6 linked regions of the Rattus norvegicus genome follow. The protein of the gene in region 1 purifies or fractionates together with the protein of each later gene. This does not show direct contact. Links are inferred from orthologs where the notes say so. Each region holds a gene or a part of one and is shown in the gene's direction. Other genes may lie near its edges. The genes, in order: Cdc26, Anapc16, Anapc7, Anapc13, Anapc1 and Anapc2.

Region 1 (4,105 bases):
GGGAGGAGGCAGAAGCAGTGTGAGGTCACAGGCAAGAGTGTAGTGGAAAGATGAGAATGTGGTTCAGTGGCAGAACAGTTGCCTAGCATGCAAAAAACCCTGGGTTGGATTCCTAGCACTGTTAAAAAAGGGGGGGAGGGGGTGTGTGATTTTCAACTTGCATCTTACCAGACGTTATATTAATATTTCCTGCTTCAATGCCGGCTTTGAGTCCTTCTTTTCCCAAAATCCCAGACTCTCCTTTGGCCAGGCGTTCCCGCTCTTTCTCTTCCAAGCTTCCATAATAGATGTGTGGTTTCTTCACAACAGGAGCAACTAAATCGTCAGGTGCTTTAGTTTTGGTTGTCTGTTAAATCAAAGACCCCGATTAAGGTTTGGTCCTAGCAAACCATGCTTTCCAAAAGAATGAAGGAAATGCTGAGCCTTCATTTTATTTCCTCTCACAACTAGGACAAAGTCGAAAGTGACTTTGCGCCGAGCTCACGCTCTCGTTAAATTTGGCACACAATTACAATTAAACAATTTCTGTCTGATATGTCTTGGTTTGTTTTGGGGCCTGTTACTTTAATCTATTCGAAATGCAATCTCCGATTTTACGAAAATAACTTCTCGCCACTGGACATACACCCAAAACAACCCAAACAATTCGGCGCACCAAGTCACAATGTTACTGGAATACACATTTCAAATACTTTCAGAGCCTATTAGAAGTTGGGAGGCCTCATAAGTACCAGTCGTACAGCTTACGTCAAGACACTGCCCGATTTCAAAGAACTGTGCTTTGGAGCAGTCAGAAAAAGTGTTGTTCACTGCTCAGGGCTTAAGTAAGAGCAGTGCAAAAAGAGCTGCAGTTTAGGCGTTTAGAAATCAGGAAAAGGCTGCTAAGGTCCACACCACGGTCCCCCAGCCTTCCTCCTCCTCCTCCTCTGCCCGGACCCGTAAGGTAACGGCCCTTTCCCACGGGGACCGCGTCCTCCCTAGGAGAGGATAAGCATGAACTTAGATGCGGAACTCCGTACCGTGGAGGAGGCTCGTGAGGAGGCCATGCCGGGCTCTGGAGCCGCGAGGCCCTAGCCAAATCCCGTTCTGCTTTTCAGACCGGGAACCGCGCGCCTAGCAAAGTGGAAGTGCGTCACTGGCCGGAAATGTACCAGTTCGTGCTCTAGGAGTCGCGAAGTATCTTGGGAGTGGTAGTTGCCAAGTGTCGGCTGTCATCGATGGGCGTGGCCTTATAGAGCGGCACAACCTCTCGGGAGAAGAGGCGCGTGGGAAAAAAAGGCGCAGAGCAACTTGGGAAGTGTAGTTCGGGCTGCGTAGCAATGGAGTCAAGGTGGGAGTTGAGGTTCTGGGAAGCTTCAGAGGCCTGAAAAGAGGTAAGTTTGCGAATCGCAAGTCTAATCTGGAACAAACCAAGGGTCTCTGCTCTCCTTCGGGAGGCCTTCCGTCATTTTGAAACCGAGGCCTGTGCTGCCATTGAAATCTCTCCCTAGACTTCTGCAGCATTGGAGCTGGGAAAGAGGACTGTTGTTCACGACGGAAGTTCTCCGGGGGCCCCTGGTAACTGGGTGGCTACGAAGTGATTTTGTGCTTTAAGAAGACATTAAACTCGAAGAGCCTTCTAAGGCTAAAATAGAGATGTGGTGGAGGAGCTGCGGCCTAGTTTGTTGTTGTTTTACTTGTCTACAGCCTGTTCTTTTTATATGTTCTTTGAAATAAAGGGTCCAGGGAGGCGCCAGATAAAGTGTATACCAGCAGCTGCAGTTGCAATGATTGCTAGGCCGTCAGAGATATTTTTTTTTTAAACCCTTACATGAAAGTTGCGGGGATTGCAAAATATTCGCGTTTGCTGAGCTGAACAGACTCATTCTCACTCTTAAGCCTCTTTCTTCCCCGAACAACTCCAGTTAGAAGAGCACTTCCACTTCGAGGGCTTACTAAATGCCACGTTACGCGCAAGGAGCTTATTCTATCTTAGTTATTTAAGTCGCGGGACAACAAGAGTAAAGATCAGAAAATAAATTCTGGTGAGAAAAGGTAATCCGTCGTTCTGGAGCCACAGTGTAGTAGGGTTAGTAATGTGGCGGGTGGACTGCCGCGCTTTTAACCCGTACTCACTGTTGCTCTCTAGTGGTGAGGCTTTCAGTTCATACCCAAGTAGGAAATTATTTTTCTTAAGTATTTCTTCCCTTTCTCTTTGGAGCTGGCTTCCATTTCTCTACTTAGGGATCTGGTAGAAGGTAGTATCTGATAGAATAAAGCAGTTTGAATTGTCACAGGCCAGTGTTTTGTGTTGACCATATGGCCCCTTGAGATGTGATATAATGTGACACTCCTGAGAGAAGTGTAAGAAGTGTAAATGTTTCGTATACATCGTAGTCTTTTGTTTCATTCTGCTAGCATGCAATAATAATTTATATGGATGCACACTATATCGGAACTTTTTTTTTGCGGAACTTTCACGAAGATCATTATCACAACTTTTTATTCTAGTGGTCTATGAGTAACTTTTATAGGAGGCTATTTTGTTTTTTTTTTGGAAGACAGGGTTTCTCTGTGTAGCCCTGGATGCCCTGGAACATGTTCTGTAGACCAGGCTGACCTCAAACTTACAGAGATCTGCTTGCCTCTGCCTTCAGAGTGCTGGGATTAAAGGTGTGTGCCACCACCACCCGGCTTCTGAATTTGTTAATTAAACTGTTTGCTTCAACTTTATAAAACTGGAATAATTTTTCAAGCTTCCCAAGGCTTCTGTATTAAAGTAATATAAAGAATGGGAATGTGGGTTGGTTCAGTCGTAAAGGAGCCCATGCTAAGTGTGGTGTCCTACATAGTAGATGGAGAGAACCAACTCCCAGACATTGTCCTCTGACCTCTGCCTGTGGGCTATGTGCTTTCACCAGCACCCAACAAATAAATAGAACAAACTTTTTTTTAAGAGGCAAAAACTTTTGAGTTATCAAAGTGAGAAGAAAAACCAATAATGGGAGAGTCTAGAATTTAAGAAAAGTTAGTTTCACTTTCTCTATTTTTTATGGCTCAGTTTACTTTGTTGTGGATGCTGTGGAGGACATAGAGACAATACCTTCAACAGATACTAAAGTCAGCTTAGGTTTTCTTTTTTTCTTTTTCTTTTTTTCGGAGCTGGGGACCGAACCCAGGGCCTTGCGCTTGCTAGGCAAGTGCTCTACCACTGAGCTAAATCCCCAACCCCTTAGGTTTTCTTCTTAACTTTTGATTGATTCTTTGTGAACATCACATCATCCACCCCAGTCCCACTCATCTCCCTGTCCCTTTGCATCTGCCCTTGCAACCTCCCCCCTACAATAAGAAAATAAGATAGAATAAACAAAAATTTGTCATGGACTCTGTAGCACATCATGGTGTATCATGGAGTATACCCGTTTGTCCACACACCTAAACTTATAAATGCTCATTCAGTGCAATGAGTCATGGGCCTGTTTTAGGGCCTCTGGCTTTTGCTACACTATACTGGAACCTCACTAGGACTCCTCTCAGATATGTTGTTGCCCTGTGTCATGGAGATGTGACCCTGCAGCTTGTGCAGATCATAGATGGGGTAGATGCTGGGGTGGGCCAACTCAGAGCCCTGGATTTGGTCCTGGGAGGTAGCTGAGTTGATCAGCCTGCCACCTGTATCTGCACCATCCGGGTGAACTCTCCAACACTGCTCCAGCTAGTTTACCCAGTGCCACAGCTGGCAAGGGGGAGTGTCAGCTCTCCTGTTCTCAGGTCTTCAGGGACTACCTCATCCACGCCTTTCACCGGGGCTAGCTCTACTGCTGCCCAGGTGAGTTGCAGGGCCCACTCTACCGGGTGCTGCCAGCTCAAGTGTTTGTTCTGAAACAAACATGGGCTTTGTTAACACAAACCTTCATTCTCCATATGAACTTCTCTGACCTTAAGTCTGTCTGCCTACCCTTCAAATTCACTAAGACACCTTTTCCCATAGGGAATTGAGATCCCTAGCCACTCTTAGGCAGCCCACCCTCGGCTAGATGCTCATGCAGTGCTGTTGAAGGACCCTCCTTAGAGTTCTGTTTTTGCCCTAGATTGGCATGGTCTGTTGTGTTGTGTTTTCCCCACA
Region 2 (3,500 bases), on another chromosome or scaffold:
TTAAAAGTTTACTAGGCTATATTTCAAACTGATGTACCACAAAAGAGAAGTTATAAATTCCACAGAAACGGTTACTTTCCCTGAACAAGTAAATTCTGAAAGTAATGTAAGGACAAAATTGAGAGTATTGTCAGTGCGGCTGGGCTTGCAGGCAGAGTCTTTTATACCATCACTGAGAGGCCCATGGGTCCCTGTGAGTGTGAGGCCAGCCTGAACTGCATAGCAAGTTCCAGAACAGCCAGAGCTAAGCAGTGAGACCCCATTTAAAAAAAAAAAAAAAGTTGAAAGGAAAAGAGCTAGTTAATGAGTTTGCATTTATTCATAACAGGCTGCTAGTCTCACAGCAGCAGTTTTACTATTAGCCCATGTCAGTGTTCATTAATGCAACCTACGACGGCCATATGATGCAACTAGAAACCAGGCTCTGCCTCTCTGACAGCCACATGTCACTGCCACATAGTTCTGGGCCAGCAGCCACCATCTCAGGTTGCGTGTACCACTTTCCTTAGAAGGAAACGAGATGGTCTGGACATAAAGGATTTACAGGAACGTAGTATTCTCTAGTATTTTTCTGTTTAAAAAGTGTTTCAGTTTTCTGTTTAAAAAGTGTTGGGGATTGAAACTAGAGCATGAAATGTTTATAGCTTGTGCTCCCCCCACTGAGTCATAACCCAGCCTTCAACTTTTCCTAGCAAGTATGTCAGAACTAAGGGGGAAATGAGTAAAAACGACTCAGCACAATTCCCCTTGACCATAACAGAGGGAGTTGTGCTTTTATTAGTTTGGTTTTTTTGTTGTTGTTGGGTTTGTTTGGTTTTTTGTTTTTTGTTTGTTTTCTTTTTTCTTTTTTTTTTTGCATTTTGTTTTTTTTTTTTTGTTTTGTTTTTTTTTTTTTTTTTTTTTTTTTTGCATTTTGTTTTGTCCAATTGAGGGATCTTATGTATCCCAGCCTGGCCTTGAAATTGCTATAATCAAAGATGACCTCCAACTTCTGGTTCTTCCACCTCTGCCTCCCAGGTACAAGAATCTTACTTCTGGGCCACCATGCCTTGTTTATGTGGCGCTGGAACTAAGCTTCCTCTATACTAGGCAGATACTCCTAAGTAAACAATATCCACAGCCCTGGAAAATTCATTTTAAAGATTGATTCAAAGCCAGCCGTGGTGGCACATGACCATAATCCCAGCACTTGGGAAGGTGACACAGTGGGGTTGCCTTGAATATCGCTCAGACCAGGTCAGGATAGATAGTAAGTTCCAGGCTAGCAAATTAAGACCTTCTCTATAAATAAATAAAGTCTTTTTTTTCAATGCTGAAATCTGTATAATATCAAGATTAGCCATTGTCCATTGTTATTGGAACAGGCTCTCGGCTATGTTTCCAGGTTACAAAATCCCTTGCCTCAGCCTCCTGTGTAACTAAAATGTCCCAGTACACACCACTACTCCTGTGTAAAGTCATTTGTTCAGTTAAATACTAGAATTCTGACCCAGTGAGAAACCACTAGCCCCATTATTGAAATTTTATCTAGTATTTTTAAATGGACATAAATAGCTTTTCAGTTACATTATTAGACACAACATGAAACTGATGGCTACCAAATTGGGCAGAACTAGAATATCAGAGAATTTCCAAGGTGCAGGTTCTAAGTGGCATAAACATGGTACTAACCAGTCTTAAAATATATACTGTAGAGTCTTCATAGGCTTCTGAGGCTGTGTTCTTGTTCTGAGTTTTGTGAGACATGTGTTCAGTACTGGGGTCCGGGTTTTCAGATGGGATGCAGAATTAAGCCCACAGATGCTCAGTTCATGAAGGACCATTGTTTCTGAGATTTGATCCTGAATTATTTTTGTTCCAGCTTTGGGGCGCCACCAAGTGTTGGATTTAGGTATGACATTTAGATGAAAAGATTAATGAGTTCTTAATGAACGTGCCAATATGAATTTCCTCACTGATTTCCCTTCCTTGGGAACAGAACACAGTGTTATTCTGGACTCCTACTTGGAAAACCTGATAAGCGAACTTGGTGGTGTGGCTTGGCTTGGTGAGGAGTGTATCCAAGACAAACTGTCCTGTGGAGTAGTAGTATTTTATCTGTGGTCCCATTTTTGCCTTGGCCCTGCCATATCTCCCTTCATAACTCAGGAATTATCCACATTCAATCCCAAGTGGCATAATTCGTTAATGGGTTAATGGGAGAAAATAGGGCTCTCTAACTAGGCAAGATTTCTTTTGGTTTTGGTTTTTGGTTTTTCAAGACAGGGTTTCTCTGTGTATCCCTAGCTGTCCTGGAACTCATTAGGTAGACCAGGCTGGCTTCCAGTTCTCACGTATCGGCCTGTTTCTAGCTCCTGGGATTAAAGGTGTGTCCCACCATACCCATTCAAGCTCTTCTTTTTTTTTTTTTTTTTTTTTTTTTTTTTTTTTTTTTTTGGTTCTTTTTTTCGGAGCTGGGGACCGAACCCAGGGCCTTGCGCTTCCTAGGCAAGCGCTCTACCACTGAGCTAAATCCCCCAACCCCACATTCAAGCTCTTCTTAAACATGATTTACTTGAAAACCTGCGTGACATTATAAAAGACTATATAAGGATGGAGGACAGGGAAAGCTGGTCCTACTGGGCCAGAATGAAGTGTCGTCCATCTGGCTTTATAAACTTGCCAATTGCTGTTTTTTTCCTCTAGTGAAGAGAGACTTCTACTGGAGGGAATGGCCGCCTCCTCATCCTCATCTTCAGCTGGTGGGGTCAGTGGAAGTTCTGTCCCTGGATCTGGTTTCAGTGTGTCCGACCTTGCCCCACCACGGAAAGCTCTGTTCACCTACCCGAAAGGAGCTGGAGAGATACTAGAAGGTGATCTCATGCTGTGTTTGCTGAATAATTGGCTTCAGACCTTCAATGCATGTAAAATGTAAAGGAGCTGGGGCTGGGGGCCCTTGAGTAACCTGACCAGGGTTGCCACTGGCTCTGGACCCTCTTGATCTCCTGCTCCAGGTGGTCTTGTAACGCCTGTTGATGTATCTTCTTTTTAGTGAGTATCTACCCCACCAGAGAGGCCTGAAGGGGAAATAAGAGTTAATGTATTTACCTCTGTGAAGGTGACTCTCATGGGCCACTGCCAGACATGGCTGTATGACCGCATGGTTTATAGCACTGGAGATAGATTTGCAGCCACCGTCTTAGCACACAGACTGGCTGGCCAGAAATAGGTCACGGGCAGCAGCCATGAAATGGTGTTAGTGACTGGAACGTATCGGATTCATGTTAGGTAAACTGGTGATTCATGGTAGAAGCATAAGACTCATGTGAGACACTGAACTTAAATATGTCTTGCCAGGCAGATGTCTCTAAGTTCTTCTTCATAGTGAGTTCCAGGCCAACTAGGGGTGTACAGTGAGACCCTCTTTCTTAAAAAGAGAGAGACAGAGACAGAGAGAGACAGACGGGGGGTGGGGGAGGGAAAAGAAAGGAAAGGAAAGGAAAGAAACAAAAGAAGCTAAA
Region 3 (3,766 bases), on another chromosome or scaffold:
ACAGATGGTGGAGCAGTTCTGCCTGCACCTGCCTGAAGTGCTGTGTGTGTCACACCAGATGTGGCTTAGACCTGCTTAGGTTGGTTTACACCAGTTAACGTTACTTGGTAGCTGGTGAACTCATCTGGTTGGTTTAGTTTTGAACTCGTTTAGTGTGTTACAGCTGACTTTGGTCAGTTTGGTTCTGAGCTATCTGGATTCTCTTGTTCTTTTTGCTTCTGGCATATTCCTAAGTTTATTTGATGCTATCAAGAGGGTATTTTGGTTCAGGGTTCTAGTTCAGGGCCATTGGCCTCATCTGGTGCTGGCCTGGTCTGCAGAGGAGTTCCAGGACAGCTCGTCTGCAAAAAAAAAAAAAAAAAGTTTTTTTTAAAGATTCAGGGCACAGACTCAGTGGCTTGGGTAAAGAGGCCACCAAGACTGACGACCTCAGTTCAGTCCTCAGGACCTGCGTGATAGATAGATTGTCCTCTGACCTCCTCTCATGTGCTGTGTGTGCTTGCCCACACCACTGTATAAATAAGTTCATGGATGCATGGTTTTTAAAGACACAGTACTCATGTCATTTCCCAATGAACTAGAGACCACATGCCCCTCACCCCTGCAGCGCCCCTTTGAGGGGGTCTCTGAGAAAGTTGTCGTGTCATAGTGGGTGTGACTGTGCACTAGCTGAGCAGTAAAGGTTGTCTTTCTCTGCAGGCAGGGAGCAGAAGTACGAAGATGGAATTGCTCTGCTGAGAAATGCACTGGCCAACCAGAGCGACTGCGTCCTGCACCGCATCCTGGGGGACTTCCTGGTGTCTGTGAATGAGTACCAGGAAGCAATGGACCAGTATAGCATAGCACTGAGGTAGGTGCCCGGCCTCCATGGGGAGGAGAGGAAAGGAAGCAGGGCCCAGGCAGCTCTGCAGACAGCTGTGCCCAAGGTGAAGGCAGGCTAAGAATAGCAATGAGAGAAGGTATTTGCAAATTCATGACTCCTGACATATTTTCCTAAAGCATATTAGAAGAATTAGAGATGATCATCCTTCTCCAGCCCACATAAGAGTAACACCCAGACTGATCTGTGCGGCTCTCCTGTGCTTGCCCACACCCCCATGACGTCATAGGCTTATGCCGAGTACATATTTTACATTCTGCTTTTTATGATCAGAGTTTGCTAAGTGTGTGCTTCTGGTTTTGTCTGCTCTAGTAATTAAAAACTTAAATTCCGAAGTTTGAGTACAGCTTCTACCTGTTATCTTGGTCAAATACTAACCAATTCCCTGTCTATACCTACCTCATTGGGCATTAACTAGGGGTATCAAGATAATAATTGCTACATAATCGTGCAGACCCAAGTTCGATTCCCAAAACACATGTAAAGGTTGAAGGAGAGAATTGACTCCAAGGTTGTCCTCTGACGTGTGCGCCATGGCTTTTACACAACGCACAGACAATGTGTGTGTGTACACACAATAATACATTTAATTTTTTAATGTAAATTTCTAGGACTTTTCTTTTAAAGCTTTCTTAGGAGCCAAATAAATGAGGCTCCTGGGCTCTGGGCTTCATGGTGTTGCTACTAGTGAAACTGTCTTAGTCCAGCCCCTAGCCTCAGGACTTATGATCTGTCCCAGAGTGTAGCATGGTTGACGGCGGTGGCTGCCTGCAGTCCACGGTATAAAGTCACATGGAAGAATAACCAGCCTGGGGCAGGCTACATGCAATCATCATGTACCCGAGGCTGCCCGGGTGTCCTGATCCTGTTTCCCTCCTGGATGTGCTGGGCTGTGTCCTGTGCCTGGCCTCAAGCACCAGGCCTTCTGCGAGCACCGCTGCTCTGTCTGGTCACTGCCCCCGACTGCCCTCACTGCCTCCCCTGCTCCCACTGCCTCCCCTGCCCCCACTGTCCCCACTGTCCTCCACTGTCCTCCACTGCCCCCACTGCCTCCACTGCCCCCACTGCCTCCCATTGCCTCCACTTCCCCCACTGCCTCCACTGCCTACAGGAGAGTTAAGGGCTTGGTATTTGAGGAGCTTTAAAAACTTTTTGGAGGAAAATTTGAAGTTAGAATTTTTAATTGCCATTTTAAAGTGAATTGTTTATTAATTTATTTTATGTGGATGGGTTTGCTTGCATGAATGTCTGTGGACCATGTATGTGCCTGGTGCCCAGAGAGGCCAGAGGAGGGTGTCAGATACTTGGGAACTGGGGTCACTGTTGGTCATGAGTCATATATGGGTGCTGGGAACTGAACCCAGCAACAGATGCACTTGACCACTGAGCCACCTCTCCGGCCCCTTCAAGTTAAAAGTTCTAAAACTCCGAATAATGTCCCTTTTCATCTCTGATGGACTCCCTGGGTCCAGCCATGGAAGCACAGTTGTTTGCAACGTCTCTGGCTTAGTCATATCTGCTGGGCCAGCTCAGTGACAGTCCCAAGAAGCAGGGCAGAGACTCAGGCCTGTCTTCTGTTTTGTTGTTCCTCAGTTTGGACCCCAATGACCAGAAGTCCCTGGAGGGCATGCAGAAGATGGAGAAGGAGGGGAGCCCCACAGACGCCACTCAGGAGGACGACGTGGACGACATGGAGGGCAGTGGGGAAGAAGGGGACCTGGAGGGTAGCGACAGTGAGGCAGCCCAGTGGGCTGACCAGGAGCAGTGGTTTGGCATGCAGTGAGGGCACAGCGGTGACCCTTGTGTCCCTAGAGTGGCAGGAGCTGTTGGACGTGTGCTCACAGCAGGCCTTTCTGCCTGTTTCCTCAAGTTGGCACTGATGTTTGTCCGTCTGCTTTGCTGTGGACTGAGCGAGTTCCGAGCCACAGACTCGCCATTCTGGATGGTTCGGCTGCACGAAATGGAAGATGCTTTTTCTCTTTATGAGCGGGTACATAGGACTGAGCCATCCTCTTAAGAGCACATGCCCCTGGGTGGCCCTGTCAGAGGTTCGGTCCCTGGGAGTCACATCCTGGTACGGCCACACTCCTGTAGTCATGGAGCTCTGGATGGGGGGGGGCGGGCTGTGCCTCACTGACTGCAGAGCAGGCTCGGCCTCAGTGGGCAGATCTGAGAAGCAGATGATGGGAGCATGGCCACCCCAGGGCAGGTTCAACTAATAAAACTGCCCAGTGTGGTGTCACATGTCACAGTGGACACCCTTTGAGACTCTTCCTTTTTCCTCCTTGTCAGAGGCAGCCATGCAGGCCTAGACAGTTTGACATACATATACTCCCTATTCTCCCATGTGCTGGGAGGCAGAGCCCTGAGCTTGTCACACAGAACCAGCCTGGCTCTTTCCTGAGTCCCTGAGGGCAGGGTCAGCCTTGATCATCTGCCTAGAGTCTCATTCAGCTACTGGGGATGGGTCGACTCCAGGTCCCTCCTGGGTGCCTTTCAAGATGCAGATCGGTGTGCTAGGAAGAAATGAGGTTTACTGTAAAGAATCCGTAGTCGATTTCAGAGCATCTGTCAGTGCAGTGAAGTGGGCCACGTAGTCTGGTGGAAACATTCCGGAAGCCTGCACTTGGGAGGCAGAGGCAGACAGTTCAAATGTGCTGGGCTGCACTGCAAGATTTGCATTAAGAGACATAAGTTAAGCGGACCAGGTCTCATAAAGTGTGTCAGTGAGCCTCAGCCTCCACACTAGCCGGCCCTGAGCAGTCTCAGGCTCCCTTTGAGCAAGCAGCATGTGGGTGGTGCTTTTCCTGACTCCACCCCGCCAGCAGCCCCACTCACCAGTCAGTGCTGAGAGAAGGCAAAATCTGTTCAGCCACAAATTGAACC
Region 4 (4,008 bases), on another chromosome or scaffold:
ACATTCTAAAGGGACATGCATCTGTTTATAAATCTCTAACCCATTTTAGTTTGACAACCTCCTTAACTGATCGCTGAGGACGGCACAGTGAAAGACAAGAAGCAGGGACAAAAATTACCTAAAAATGGCGCTGCATTCCAATGAATGAATATAATTCATGAATGAAACGAAGATAATTCGTTTCATCGTATCACTAAGCTACAGCCTTTAAGAGTAGGTGTAAATAGTTAGATAATTAAAGCCATTGATCTTTGACTTACAAAATATAAATACAAAATAAATGCAAATGTTCGAAGAATTGTACAAAGAGCACCTACCCTGCTTTAATAAAGTAATACATTTTAAAACTCTAAATTGGCCTCAAGAAAGAGAACTCAAAAAGCCAGGCGAGGTGGTGCAGATCCTTAACTAGCAGGCAGAGGTAGGTCCATCTACAATGAGGCCAGCCTGGTCGACCAGAGCAACAAAGGAGAGCCGGTGCTAGTTGGAGAGAAAGGGGATCGCTTTGAGCAATAAGTGTACAGTTTATAAATGAAAACTCTGTAACCCCACGATTCTGTGAAGTACAAAAGCCCTTTCCAATCAATCCATTCACGGTCAAGTGTCTCCGCGTAAAGCGTTGTTATCGAACTGCTCTTTCAAAACTTTCACTCGACTTGAAAGCGTTCCGCAATTCGCCTGCATCAGGGGTTCCCGCACCTTTCCTACGAACATTACGAGGGAACCCTGCGGACTTCACGCTGAGTGGCTAATGCTAAGGCCTGGTCCTACACCCGTAGCAGCAGGGTTCCTCCCCGGGAGCGAAGCAACCCGCCCTCCCGCTGGCCGTAGCACCTGGCCGGTCAGCTCAGAGCCCCATAGGGAGGAGACGGAGGAACCCAGGGACGCAGCGGCCGGACAGCAGTGGGCGTGCAGTGGAGGCCCCCGCGGTAGGTGGGCCGCAACGAACTGCGGCCCCGGGCCATGCGGCCAGAAGGTTAGCGGCACCACGGTGGCCAGGGCCGCAAACGCACAACAAGCCGCAGCTCGCCCGTCTTAGGGGCATGCGGTCGGTTACGGAGCGCGCCCCCGGCAGAGCGCGCCCCGGGGCCTGCCCGCCGTTCCTCTGACCGGGAACGCGCGCACGTCACAATAAATCGACGTTCGTCCCGCCCCCTACAGCAGCGAATGGACTCACCTACATACGGGGTATGAGAGCGCCGTGCGTCACGTGACCCGGAAGAAGGGCGGGGCCCGGAGGAAGCCGACGCGCGCTCTGTGGGTAAGGGTTTTTCGCGCCCGCCGCCCGGGTTTCTGAGAGTAGCCAAGCGTTCGCCCTCGACTTCAGAGTCGTTCAGCGCTTCCAGAAGCGCAGGCCGGTACTCTCAACCGACCTTCAGAGCCACTTCTTTACTGCACGCTGTGCGGAGTGGAACGGAGCACCCATGGCGACGCTCGACCTCCCCCTTGCACTTCCGCACGTAGTAGCTCCAGCACTCGAACCGGAAACGGCTGCAGCGGGTGGTTCTGCGTCTAGTGACCCAAGATGGTGGCCTGCGAAGGCCAATTTTAGTATCGGCCCCCGTGCTTTTAGCTTAGAAATACATTTACAAAGCTGTGATTGTGAAAATACATAAAACGTGAGTATGTCTCATAGGACGTACGCATCTAATATCTAGAAAGAGATGTCTGGACAAAAAAACTCCTGTTGTCACATATTGTGCTCAGAGATCAAGACAATCTGAGAGCTGAGAATTTATCTGGAGGACCGGGCATAGTAAGAGAAGAGTACAAAAAGTTTAAGAAACCTAGAGAGGTTATGCTGTGTCGTAAGGGTTTGGGGCATTGCCTGTGCTTGCTTTTCCCAGGGGGAGCACCCGATCACCTGACCCAGGAAAATAGATGTAGACTTCAAAGCCCTGCCGCGGTTCCTGTTGTTTAGAAGGACGAGCAAGCATAACTGATGAAGTACAGTGGGTGGGTAAAAAGCAAGCCGGTTTGTAGGCATGTGGGAGAGGGTCGTGTTAAAAAACATTGAGGCCGGGCTCAGGGAGTTAAAAAATCATGAGGCCAGGCTCAGAGAGATGGCTCAGGGGTTAAAAACACTGTCTACTCTTCTAGAGGTCCTGAGTTCAATTCCCAGCAACCACATGGTGGCTCACAACCATCTGTAATGAGATCTGGTGCCCTCTTCTGGTCTGCAGGCATACATGCAGGCAGAGAGCTGTATGATATATACATAATAAATAATTAAAAAACAAACAAACAAACATTGAGGCCAGCTTGTTGAAAGATTGGGAATCACCGCATTACCACTGGAGACAGTAGGACTCTGCCAGTCAATCACAAAGCTGACCTAACTTGTTTCATAGATCATTTAATGTGAGCAACAAAGCATTCAAGGACAAAGAGCCTGCTAAAAAACTGGAAGGAAGTCAGAACACTTTAGAAAAGGATGCAGTCTGTATAGGACTGGGAAAATCAGTACAGGAAAGAATGAAATGTAGCCCAAGACACAGCTATAAAAACAAAAGATTGACAGGAAAGGGGAGGAAACTTGTCAAGCCCTAGAGGAGTGACTAGAAGTGGCTCTTCAGCTAGCTTTGCATTATCCACTAGCTAGGGTCTGGTTAAGTCTGAGGAAAACTGCTAAGCCATCACCTGGTTTTCACTCAGCAGGAGGAGCTGACCACCTTTGGCTTCAGTGTTTGTATGCGGGTGTGTGGTGTGTCTGTGTGCATGAGCAGACAAAAAAGGTGTGGTTTCTGCCTACAGGTGGAGTCGTAGATGAGTGTAGAGGTCAGAGGTCAACGTCTGTGTCTTCCTTTATTACTTTGAATCTTAAACTAAACCTGGAACTTTCTGATTCAACTAGACTGCCTGGCAGCCTCCCGGAGGACACAAGTGTGTGCCATCGTGCCAGGCTTTTTACGTGGGTGCCAGCAATCTGAAGTCAGGTCCCTTGTTTGCACAGCAAGCACTTCAGTCCACTGAACCTCCTTCTGGGCCCCATCTTGTTTAATTTTTTAAAGTGAAAGCCCTTTCCCTCCTGCAGACTCGGTAGATAGTGCTAGCTTTGCCTTTACACCATTGGAGACAAGCACATAGCCGTATGGCAAAGTTTGTTTCTTGCTTGAGTCTCCCTTCTCTCAGAAACAGCAGTTCCTGAGAGAGCTACTGGTGCTAACCCTTAGGACCTTTCCTTGGGTTGCCACTTTGTGGCAAGAAGCACAATAGGCTGTGTCTGTGATAAGGAACAAACTTGGAAGCCAGAAACCCAAAAAGCACTGCTTGACGACCAGTCTTTTGAGTTAGACTGCAACAGTTTGAGGAGAAACATGTGAAGCAGTCTGTGGTCAGGGGCCTAAGCAAGCATCCTGAGCCTTTGGAACAGACACTGAGGAAAGCCAACAAGACGGCCTAGTGGCTTACAGGCAACCTGAGTTCAATCTCTGGGACCCACTTGATGGAAGAAGAGAACCAAAATCGCCACGTTGTCCTTTGACTTCCACATGTACATACACAAATAAACAGGGTTTTTTTTTTTTTTTTTCAAGAAGGATGAAGGCTGGATGTTGGGATCGCAGCACAAAGATCCCTGCACCCACAAATATCCAGGGAAAATGTTAAACGTGCAGGATTGTTTTTCCAATGGTAAGATGTAAAACCTGTTCTTCTATCCAAAGAGCTGGGAATTGGAAGTGATTAACAGTCCTGTAATCTGAGTGATCTGTTGGGCCAGACCACATCAGGCTCCTACAGCCAGGGCGAAGGTCGCTGATAGCCCAGGTGAACTCTCTTGCTGTATGACTGAGACCTTCCTTGGACCCCAGTACCTATCTCTAGAACCCGCCTTCTTGGAAGGAATGTCGTGGACCCTAAGTGCAGTTTTAATGTAATTACACTTTCTTGTGCACCAGAAATTGTTATACCAGGAAACTCTTTTTCAAATCATACCAGTTTAAGTCCGTTAGAAATAAACCTCCTGGCATCAAACTCCCCAAGTCTAAGCCAGACTGGTGAAATTTC
Region 5 (4,225 bases), on another chromosome or scaffold:
AAATCCCTCCAGCTCCACAGTTAGCTTCCCTTCCCCCACCTTTTTTCCCTATATAACCCAGCCATTTTGGCCACAGGTTGCTTGGTTCCCAGCTTCTCTCTTAGTCCTCCTGGCTCTGCTCTTGATCTCTTTTGGCTTGCTTGTGCTTCTCTCTTTTCTCTCTTGTCCCCCTTCCCTCCCCAATCCTCTCATGGCCTGGTCTATTCTGCAGCCTGTGTTCAGTATTCAGTGCAGACTCTTCCAGTCTCTGGCTGTTCTTTCCCTCAGATCTATGATAAAAACCTCCTCAACCATATCTAGGAGTGCTCATGTCCTTGTTTTCATTCATTGACCAGTTTGCTCCCTAACGTTTTGGGTTTCTAAGTATGGCCTCTTCAGAAGCCAACTCCCATATCCCTCATCCAAGGCTGGCAGTAGCAGAAGATATCACAGACTCGAGTATGATAGTGGCTTGGTTGCTCAGAGCATCGTGGAGAGTTGGGTGTCCTTCTATTCCAAGTGACTACTGGTGTGGTTGATGGTGTTATAGGCAGCCTGTGAAGGGGAAGGGGTAGAGAGGATGGAGAATGATGAGTGCTCTTTGTTGGGTTCCTGCATTGATATGTAAAATACGCACCTCAGCCCCTTGTCTCAGGTCAGAAACACACACACACACACACACACACCCGCAACACTTTTCTGTTCGTTTTTTCCAGATAGCCTTGTTGGTGATAGAAAGACCTTTGCAGGATGGTGAGGTTTTGCGGGAAGGAATGAAGAGGTCGGAGCAGAGCATGTGGAATATGAGTGTTAATTTAACCGTTTTTGAATATCCAGGCAGAAAATTTTAGCTAAACAGGCATTCCACTCACCAAGTTCTATGAGCTTCCTTTTGGAGTGCAGCCTCAAATTCTGTAGGATGACATTCCAAGAAAAGAAATAAGAATGAACTAAAATATCAAGGTGTGTGTTACAATCGACAATTAAAATGAAGGTATCAAATTCCAACTAACTGCCTTTGGGGCAGAGAAGTAGAGTGGAGCTCTATTCTTTAGGCAGTGAGAGGCCCGCCATTTTTTTATGACCAAGAGCAGTTAAGGGACTAAAGCCCATCTTGGGTGGTGGGGGTGTGTGATTTCCGGGCAGAATGTTTTCCTTGCAATCTTGAGAAAATGAGCGGCCTCCCTTGCGCTCCCATTCCTCAGTGAGGAGGCACACATCCCCTTTTGAGATGAGGAGGAAACTCAACCAGCTGGAAAAAATTACCTAACTTAACTTAAAATTGAGAAGATAGCTCAGGATCTCAGAGATTTATTTTGTTAGAGAGGTAAAGTCGTTAAATGACTGCCTTCGTAGGCACTCGCACAGACACCCTTTCCAACTGCGCAGGCGCCAGGTCCTCTCCGCTGCCGCGCGTCCCCGCTTTGCTCTGTGGTGGCGCGAGGCAGGTCGGGAAATCCAAGATGGATACATTCATTTGAGTTCTTCGCCAATTTTTGGTATCACGCTGCGGCCCATTCTTCCTCCGACATCAGAGAGGGAAAAGGGATGAGAAACTGTGGCGACGAGGAGCCATCGTGACCGTCTTGCCGCTGCTCTCGGGCCTTCGGGGCCCCTGTGCCTCCGGGGAGCAGCCGGGGCTCGCAAGCGCCTGACGCGTCCCGAGTCACTCAGGTGCGGGCCGGCCGGGTAGCGCATCACTGCAACTTGGTGTTGGAATTTCGATGCACCGGGTGACCCAACGGCTGAGCGCTCTGGGGCGGGCCTTGAGAGCGTGCTGGGGTGAGAGGAACCCGAGTCTCAGACTGGGCTTTTCCGGTTGGGCCGACGCGACCCGCGCACTGAGCCAGATGCTCCGGCCGCTGCGCCTGTAGCGCGGTTTACTCAAATGCACGGAAAGCCTATTTTTGTAGACCCAACTCAGGGTCCCGCTGTTTGCATATGTATCTAGTAACCAGTAATAACAGTTTTACTTCTAGCATGTCAACTCCGTGCTTTGATGTGGCCTGTAACGAATAACAAGTTTAACAACTTTTGGAGACCTGTGAAAGTATTAAGTATGATGCCTTTGGGCTAAAAGACGTCGAACTGTGAAAATGATGCTGTAAAAAGCAATCCTGTAGGTTTGTTTTAAGCTACAAGGGGATGACATTACATGTTTGCACAAGGAAAAGTCCGGCAGAGTTGCAAGTTCTTTAATGTTACCTGCTTTGTTGAATAGAATTTGGAAAGGCCAGCCACACCTTGGAATTTTTTTCCTACTTTGTATAAGGCATATGTGGTTCAGTTAAGTTCTGTTCTCAATATTGATTTTATTTCTAGGAGGTGAGGTAATCATATCAGTGATAACATTTACGTCACAGCAAGGAAGACTTTGTAGCAATAGAGGGCTTCGTATAAACTAGAGGCTTTCAGGTGATTGTAAAAAAAAAAAGAAAAAAGATGTCTAAAAGCTTCAGGTGAGAGCTTCAAGTCAAGTTTAGTTAGCAGTTGTTAATCTTACCTTCCTTTCCAAACACTAACAGTTGGTTGTAGTGTTGCTATCAAATGCTGTTGTAGACGTTTTCTCAAAGACAAAACTTGCACAAACTATGCCACAGAATGTTAGAATGTTAGCTATCTTTACATCCAGTGTGTTGAAATGTCTGCGAGGTAGACCAGCATGTTTCTGACATAGCTCCATCCGGGCCTTTGTAGTGATAAGTTAGTTTTGATTAGAAGGCTGACAAGGATGTGTTTGATTTCACACAGAAATAATGTTGATATTTGGAACCCATGTCGAACTTCTCTGAAGAAAGGGCAACGATGATTGCAGCCGGGGATCTGCAGGAATTCGTTCCTTTTGGTCGAGACCACTGCAAGCACCACCCTAATGCTCTGAACCTTCAGCTTCGTCAGCTGCAGCCAGCTTCTGAGTTATGGTCTTCCGATGGTGCAGCTGGCTTGGTGGGATCTCTTCAGGAGGTTACGATCCATGAGAAACAGAAGGTTTTATTAAGATTCTCATCATACATTTGAAACACGGAATGAATGAGTGTAAAGCTTCCTGTATGCATGTGAGAAATACGCGTGTGTTGGCACTTGGTTAAAAGCTAGTGTTTGGTAATTTCAGTCAGTGCTGAAACACGGTGCTGCCTACTTAGGCATGCTGTGTAACTTGTAAAGAGAGTTGATTACTTCAATCATGGCTCACTTTAAACTATCTTCACTTCATATGTGGATAATCAGGTTTTATACTCTTTGGTGACTAAATGCTAGAGATTCGAAATGGTACCTGCAACACACGTTTCTAGAAGAGGGTTGATGTCACATAAGAGTGTTAGAGTAGCAGTACCTTTTTTTTTTTTTTTTTTTTTTTTTGAGTTGGAGCCTCACTGAGTAGCCCAGGTTGGCCCTGGAATTTTGACCCTCTCTCTCAGTCTTCAGAATATTGGAATTAGATGTGTGTGCCACAATGCCTGGCAAATCTCTTAATTATGGAGATGAGATGCAAAAGTACGTCAGAAAAATGACACTAGAACAAAGTAGTTCCTATGTATCATCCCTCACCCAGCTCCTGATTTTTTGGGGGTGGAAGTGGGTGTGGAGGACTCATGCTGGGGCCAAACCAATGTCATGGCCTTGTTGCCTTGAGAGAGAAACACTCTTCCACCAAGCTGTTCCTCTCTTCTGCTGCTGCACCTCATCTTCACATGCCTTTGAAATCAAATCTCTTGGTGTGTACATAGGTAGAAATCAGAAACTTTCTAGCTTCCATTCATCTTATGTGTGGGACAAGGGAAAGAGGACGACTGTGTTTGCAGCTGTGAAGCAGGGAAGTCCACACTGCATCAAGTCCCCCATAGAGTCCCATGTGCACCTCTGTCTGTTTTCTGCCTTCTACATACACTTAATACATACTTTTAGTTTCCCTTCAAGCATGGATTTTATCTTATGCTCTATATGTAAGATATACTTTTTGTGTGCCTGTGTTATTGGCAGAGCAATACTAGGGACCTAGAAGTATAAAATAAAACACTATAGAGGAATTTTGAGTCAGTTTTTAAACTGCTTGTATGGCTGCACCATGTGTGTGCAGTGCCCATATGGGCCAGAAGAGGGCGTCGGATCTCTTGGAACTGAAGTTACAGACAGTTGTGTAGGTGCTGAGAATCAAACCCCAGTCTTCTAGAAGAGCAGCTAGTGCTCTTAACCACTGAACCATCTCTCCTACCTCTCTTATGTTATCTCGAGAATCCCCTGATAG
Region 6 (4,135 bases), on another chromosome or scaffold:
TCCTGGCAGCCCAAGGAGATACAGGAGCTTCAGAAAGAGGCTCCTCATGGAGCTGACCAGGAGCTCAAGGTTCCAATAACACATGTGAGTGCGGAGCTGGGAACACATCTTCCATTGGACTGTCCTGGGGCTTGTCTTGTCACTCAAGGCAGGTGGAGGTCAGAAATTGACACTCAGGGCACCAGAGATAAAAGACATCTGAGGCCATGGAGAACAAAGATGCTTTAGGACAGACATGTTGGGGAGCAGCCATAGGCCACGGCTGAGACAGGGCTTGTCAGCTGTCTTTGCCTCCACTACTCTTCTGGTCTGAAGCCGTGGCTTTAGTCAGGTTCCCAGCTTCTCTTTTGAGTACACTAAGCAGAGTCTGAGAGCTCTCCAGGATCTGGGGCCAGAGAAATAGAAGGATGTTATTTCTCTGGTAAGAAGATTCCCACTGCCTCAGCCTCTGATAGTGGAGGATGGGAATCTCAGTCTGGCCATCTGTGCTGAGTCAACGGGTTATGGAGGATGGTGGGGGCAATAAAATTATCCTCCCTCCTGCACCTGTCCCAGAGCTCTTCCACCCTGCAAAGCCAGGCTGAGTTAGTTCACCCACCACTATGGTACTCTGTCCAGCACACCACTGCTCACTCTCTTGGATCCCACAAACAGCCCACTGTCCGGCCTACAGCCTCTGAACCACAATGGGCCCTACCTAGCCTCAGATGGTAGTGAGGCACTGACAACGCATATCTGAGAGCCCCACCTTGAGGTAGGCGGCCTCTGTCTCCGCAATGGTCCGGTCAAACTCGTTGCGAGAGGCGATCTTGCGCGCCAGGTTCTCGTTGACGCGGGCCAATTTCTCCGTGAGCTGCCTCACCTCATTCTGTAGCCGCTGCTTTTCGTCCTCCTCCTGCTGGATCTGCCGGCACAGCTCCTCTCGTTTCTGACACAACTCTTCGATGCCTAGGGTGGGCGGGAAGACAGAGCTGTAGGTTGGGGCTCGTGAACTTCGGACCCCGACCAGCACGACAGAGGGGAGGCCGCAGAGCGGAGCTCGTGAGGCATGTCGACGCAGCCTCCCGAGTGTGTGGGTTGGCCGGCCCCCGGCCCCGCGGCCTTCAGCGCCCGACGCTCACACTTGACCAACTCGTTGTTGTAGTTCTGCAGCGCCGCGCCCTGTTGGGTCATGGTCGGCACCGCGTCCGTAAGCCTCAACCGCCGCCTGCACCGCCAAGCCCGCGCCTGCGCACTGCCTACACAGCGCGCGCGAGCAAGCGAACGTCACGACTGCGCCACAGCCCGCGCTTGCGTCATCACCGTGCGCTACGCTGGGCGGGTCTGTTTTGTGGACAGTGATGGAGGCCGAGGGTGTGGCGGTATCGGTGGCGGCGGCGGCGGCGGCGACAACGACAATTGTCGCCACGGATGACTGCGACTCTAGGCCTGGACAGGAGCTCGTGGTTGCCTGGAATACTGTGAGCACCGGTCTGGTGCCGCCGGCTGCGCTGGGGCTGGTGAGGCCGGGGAAAGGTTGGCGGGCCTGTGCAGAGTTGCCACGACTTTGTCCTTTAGGGAGTCCATCCTTGGGTCCTCATAGCTCCCGTGCTCTGCCCGTAGTGGGCTTGCCTCCTTCCTCAGCTATCTGATTTGTTTGGTTTCCTGGCAGCCCTTCGGCTGCTGTTTTTTTCCACACCCCTCCTCTCCTTTTACCCCTGTTCCGCCCCTCTGCTCACGGTTTTCCGTGCTCCAGGCATCTTCCCGGACCAGCGGTGCAGTTCCACCAAAGGAGGAAGAGCTTCGTGCAGCGGTAGAAGTTCTGAGGGCCCACGGTCTGCACTCTGTCCTGGAGGAGTGGTTCGTGGAAGTGCTGCAGAATGACCTTCAAGGCAACATTGCCACGGAGTTCTGGAATGCCATCTCCCTTCGCGAAAACTCTGTCGATGAACCCCAATGCCTTGTGCTGCTCCTGGATGCGTTCGGTCTGCTGGAAAGCCGCTTGGATCCCTATCTGCATAGCCTAGAACTCCTAGAGAAATGGACTCGTCTGGGCTTGCTGATGGGCGCTGGAGCTCAGGGTCTTCGGGAGAAAGTTCACACTATGTTGCGGGGAGTCCTGTTTTTTTCCACCCCTAGGACATTCCAGGAGATGGTCCAGCGCCTCTATGGTCGTTTCCTGAGAGTCTATATGCAGAGCAAGAGAAAAGGAGAAGGGGGCACAGATCCAGAACTAGAGGGAGAGCTGGACAGCCGGTATGCCCGCCGCAGGTACTACCGACTTTTGCAGAGCCCTCTGTGTGCAGGATGTGGCAGTGACAAGCAGCAGTGCTGGTGCCGGCAGGCCCTGGAGCAGTTCAACCAGCTCAGCCAGGTCCTGTAAGTACTGCTTCCTGGCCATGCCTCAGTTTCTTTAAAAAGATCTCTGAATAGAGCTAATAAACTGGATGGCGAGGTCTTTTTCGCCTATACTTGTGACCAGGGATTATTGTGTATCAAGTGTATGCTGTCCTGGACATAGGCCTAGGGTGTGTGTACAGTGTCTTTCTGGGAAGACCCCTTCGGGTAAAGGACACATGTGTTGTGGGTTCTCCATAAGCGGGGATCTCCTCCAGGCATAGGCTCAGTCTGCTGGAGCGGGTTAGCGCTGAGGCCGTGACCACCACCCTGCATCAGGTGACCCGGGAAAGGATGGAAGACCGCTGCCGAGGAGAGTATGAGCGCTCTTTCTTGCGTGAGTTCCACAAGGTGAGAATCTCCTCCTTGGTCTGTTTCCTGTTAAGGGCAACGATGGGGTTGGGGTAGACCTAATAGCAAACAGTGGAGTGGTGATGGTTGAGATTATCTTGCTGCCGTATAGAGGCCAATCTTGGACCCTGGTGACAAGGACAAATCTGGTATGTACCAAATAGGTCTGTGCATTTAAAATAAAACCTTTAAATCCTGGGCCAGAGGTGGCTTCAAGGAGTTTCCTCAGGCAGGTGTGGCAAGACAGGTCTACCAGACCCTTTTCTTTCCACTGTCCTATAAAACATATGTTGACTTAACAGTTCCCTTCAGGATTAACCTATAACCAGTCTGGAGCTAGGCTGTCCTCAGTGAATGCCTCTGGTTGTCCATACTCTTGAGGTATGGTTTGTAATTCTTCTGTGGGGTTCCCAGCATTGTGAAGAAGCCAGGTTGAGCTCCATGCAGTCGTGCACCTTGTTTCTGCTTCAGTCCATACCTCCCACTCTTTGAGTGTCTGTCTGCTGCAGATGCATATTAGCCATGGTAGGGAATGATCAAAGTGGGTGTCCCCGCAGTGTTAGCCGTGTAGAGTCATGAACCTGGGAACTCCTGGGGCAGCTGCATTGAACCCTGGGCAGTGGAGTGTAGATCTGATACTTCTGGCCTCCATGCACAGGTCGGGGCTCCACTAGCATCCTGCCGAAGCTGTGTGGTTGCTGAGTCAGAATGGAGCTTTTAAATGTTATTACACCTCATACTAATGATCTTTCACAGTGGATCGAGAGAGTGGTTGGTTGGCTTGGCAAAGTGTTCCTTCAGGACAACCCCAGCAGACCAACTTCTCCAGAAGCTGGGAACACACTGCGTCGTTGGCGCTGTCACGTACAGAGATTCTTCTACCGAATCTATGCCAGCCTACGTATTGAGGAGCTTTTCAGCATCATCCGAGGTTGGTCCTGCTTCTTACTTTGCAGGACCTACCTTTCCCAGTCATTTTCTTTGCCTTACCTGCTGCTGTTGGCAGGGTGATAAGCTGAGCAGAGTGGACTTAAGTATAACATGTAGGAAAATATAGTGTCAGGTTGTAGAGATGTCTCATCAGTTAAGATGGCTTGTTGCTCTGACAGAATACTCAGGTTGTTGTCAGCACCCGTGTGGCAGCTCATAGCCATCTGTAGCTCCAGTTCCAGGAGATCAAGAACCCTCTTCTGCCCTCCACTGGTACCAGGCATCCACATGGAGCCTATACATCTGGGCAGCAAACAGTCCCTGCAAACAAATACTCACATGCATAAAGATTTTAATCTTTTTTTTTTTTTTTGGTTCTTTTTTTCGGAGCTGGGGACCGAACCCAGGGCCTTGCGCTTCCTAGGCAAGCGCTCTACCACTGAGCTAAATCCCCAACCCCAAGATTTTAATCTTAAAA

The links.
Region 2: the proteins of Cdc26 (region 1) and Anapc16 purify together in Homo sapiens (co-immunoprecipitation; 5 studies listed by BioGRID and IntAct, with this or other methods). This does not show direct contact. The link is inferred for Rattus norvegicus from reciprocal best matches to the Homo sapiens genes CDC26 and ANAPC16.
Region 3: the proteins of Cdc26 (region 1) and Anapc7 purify together in Homo sapiens (affinity purification with mass spectrometry; 5 studies listed by BioGRID and IntAct, with this or other methods). This does not show direct contact. The link is inferred for Rattus norvegicus from reciprocal best matches to the Homo sapiens genes CDC26 and ANAPC7.
Region 4: the proteins of Cdc26 (region 1) and Anapc13 purify together in Homo sapiens (affinity purification with mass spectrometry; 4 studies listed by BioGRID and IntAct, counting the BioPlex papers as one, with this or other methods). This does not show direct contact. The link is inferred for Rattus norvegicus from reciprocal best matches to the Homo sapiens genes CDC26 and ANAPC13.
Region 5: the proteins of Cdc26 (region 1) and Anapc1 purify together in Homo sapiens (co-immunoprecipitation; 6 studies listed by BioGRID and IntAct, with this or other methods). This does not show direct contact. The link is inferred for Rattus norvegicus from reciprocal best matches to the Homo sapiens genes CDC26 and ANAPC1.
Region 6: the proteins of Cdc26 (region 1) and Anapc2 purify together in Homo sapiens (co-immunoprecipitation; 7 studies listed by BioGRID and IntAct, with this or other methods). This does not show direct contact. The link is inferred for Rattus norvegicus from reciprocal best matches to the Homo sapiens genes CDC26 and ANAPC2.

Annotation. Positions count from the first base shown.
Region 1 is NC_086023.1:80,872,527-80,876,631, reverse strand, and holds the start of Cdc26 (anaphase-promoting complex subunit CDC26), read left to right. Parts: upstream 1-1,305; 5' UTR 1,306-1,373; intron 1,374-4,101; exon of another isoform or gene 4,102-4,105. Other genes in the region: Prpf4 (U4/U6 small nuclear ribonucleoprotein Prp4), read right to left, coding at 169-346, 1,020-1,046. UniProt on the Homo sapiens protein: Component of the anaphase promoting complex/cyclosome (APC/C), a cell cycle-regulated E3 ubiquitin ligase that controls progression through mitosis and the G1 phase of the cell cycle.
Region 2 is NC_086038.1:28,478,090-28,481,589, reverse strand, and holds part of Anapc16 (anaphase-promoting complex subunit 16), read left to right. Parts: intron 1-2,685; coding exon 2,686-2,852; intron 2,853-3,500. UniProt on the Homo sapiens protein: Component of the anaphase promoting complex/cyclosome (APC/C), a cell cycle-regulated E3 ubiquitin ligase that controls progression through mitosis and the G1 phase of the cell cycle.
Region 3 is NC_086030.1:39,793,849-39,797,614, reverse strand, and holds the end of Anapc7 (anaphase-promoting complex subunit 7), read left to right. Parts: intron 1-699; coding exon 700-850; intron 851-2,473; coding exon 2,474-2,663; 3' UTR 2,664-3,266; downstream 3,267-3,766. UniProt on the Homo sapiens protein: Component of the anaphase promoting complex/cyclosome (APC/C), a cell cycle-regulated E3 ubiquitin ligase that controls progression through mitosis and the G1 phase of the cell cycle.
Region 4 is NC_086026.1:112,083,197-112,087,204, forward strand, and holds the start of Anapc13 (anaphase-promoting complex subunit 13), read left to right. Parts: upstream 1-1,208; 5' UTR 1,209-1,261; exon of another isoform or gene 1,262-1,450; intron 1,451-1,479; exon of another isoform or gene 1,480-1,619; intron 1,620-3,541; exon of another isoform or gene 3,542-3,633; intron 3,634-4,008. UniProt on the Homo sapiens protein: Component of the anaphase promoting complex/cyclosome (APC/C), a cell cycle-regulated E3 ubiquitin ligase that controls progression through mitosis and the G1 phase of the cell cycle.
Region 5 is NC_086021.1:136,380,665-136,384,889, reverse strand, and holds the start of Anapc1 (anaphase-promoting complex subunit 1), read left to right. Parts: upstream 1-1,425; 5' UTR 1,426-1,653; intron 1,654-1,742; exon of another isoform or gene 1,743-1,761; intron 1,762-1,791; exon of another isoform or gene 1,792-2,098; intron 2,099-2,730; 5' UTR 2,731-2,754; coding exon 2,755-2,967; intron 2,968-4,225. UniProt on the Homo sapiens protein: Component of the anaphase promoting complex/cyclosome (APC/C), a cell cycle-regulated E3 ubiquitin ligase that controls progression through mitosis and the G1 phase of the cell cycle.
Region 6 is NC_086021.1:28,483,293-28,487,427, forward strand, and holds the start of Anapc2 (anaphase-promoting complex subunit 2), read left to right. Parts: upstream 1-1,335; 5' UTR 1,336-1,340; coding exon 1,341-1,499; intron 1,500-1,735; coding exon 1,736-2,358; intron 2,359-2,594; coding exon 2,595-2,727; intron 2,728-3,483; coding exon 3,484-3,658; intron 3,659-4,135. Other genes in the region: microtubule nucleation factor SSNA1, read right to left, coding at 278-385, 749-948, 1,122-1,173. UniProt on the Homo sapiens protein: Together with the RING-H2 protein ANAPC11, constitutes the catalytic component of the anaphase promoting complex/cyclosome (APC/C), a cell cycle-regulated E3 ubiquitin ligase that controls progression through mitosis and the G1 phase of the cell cycle.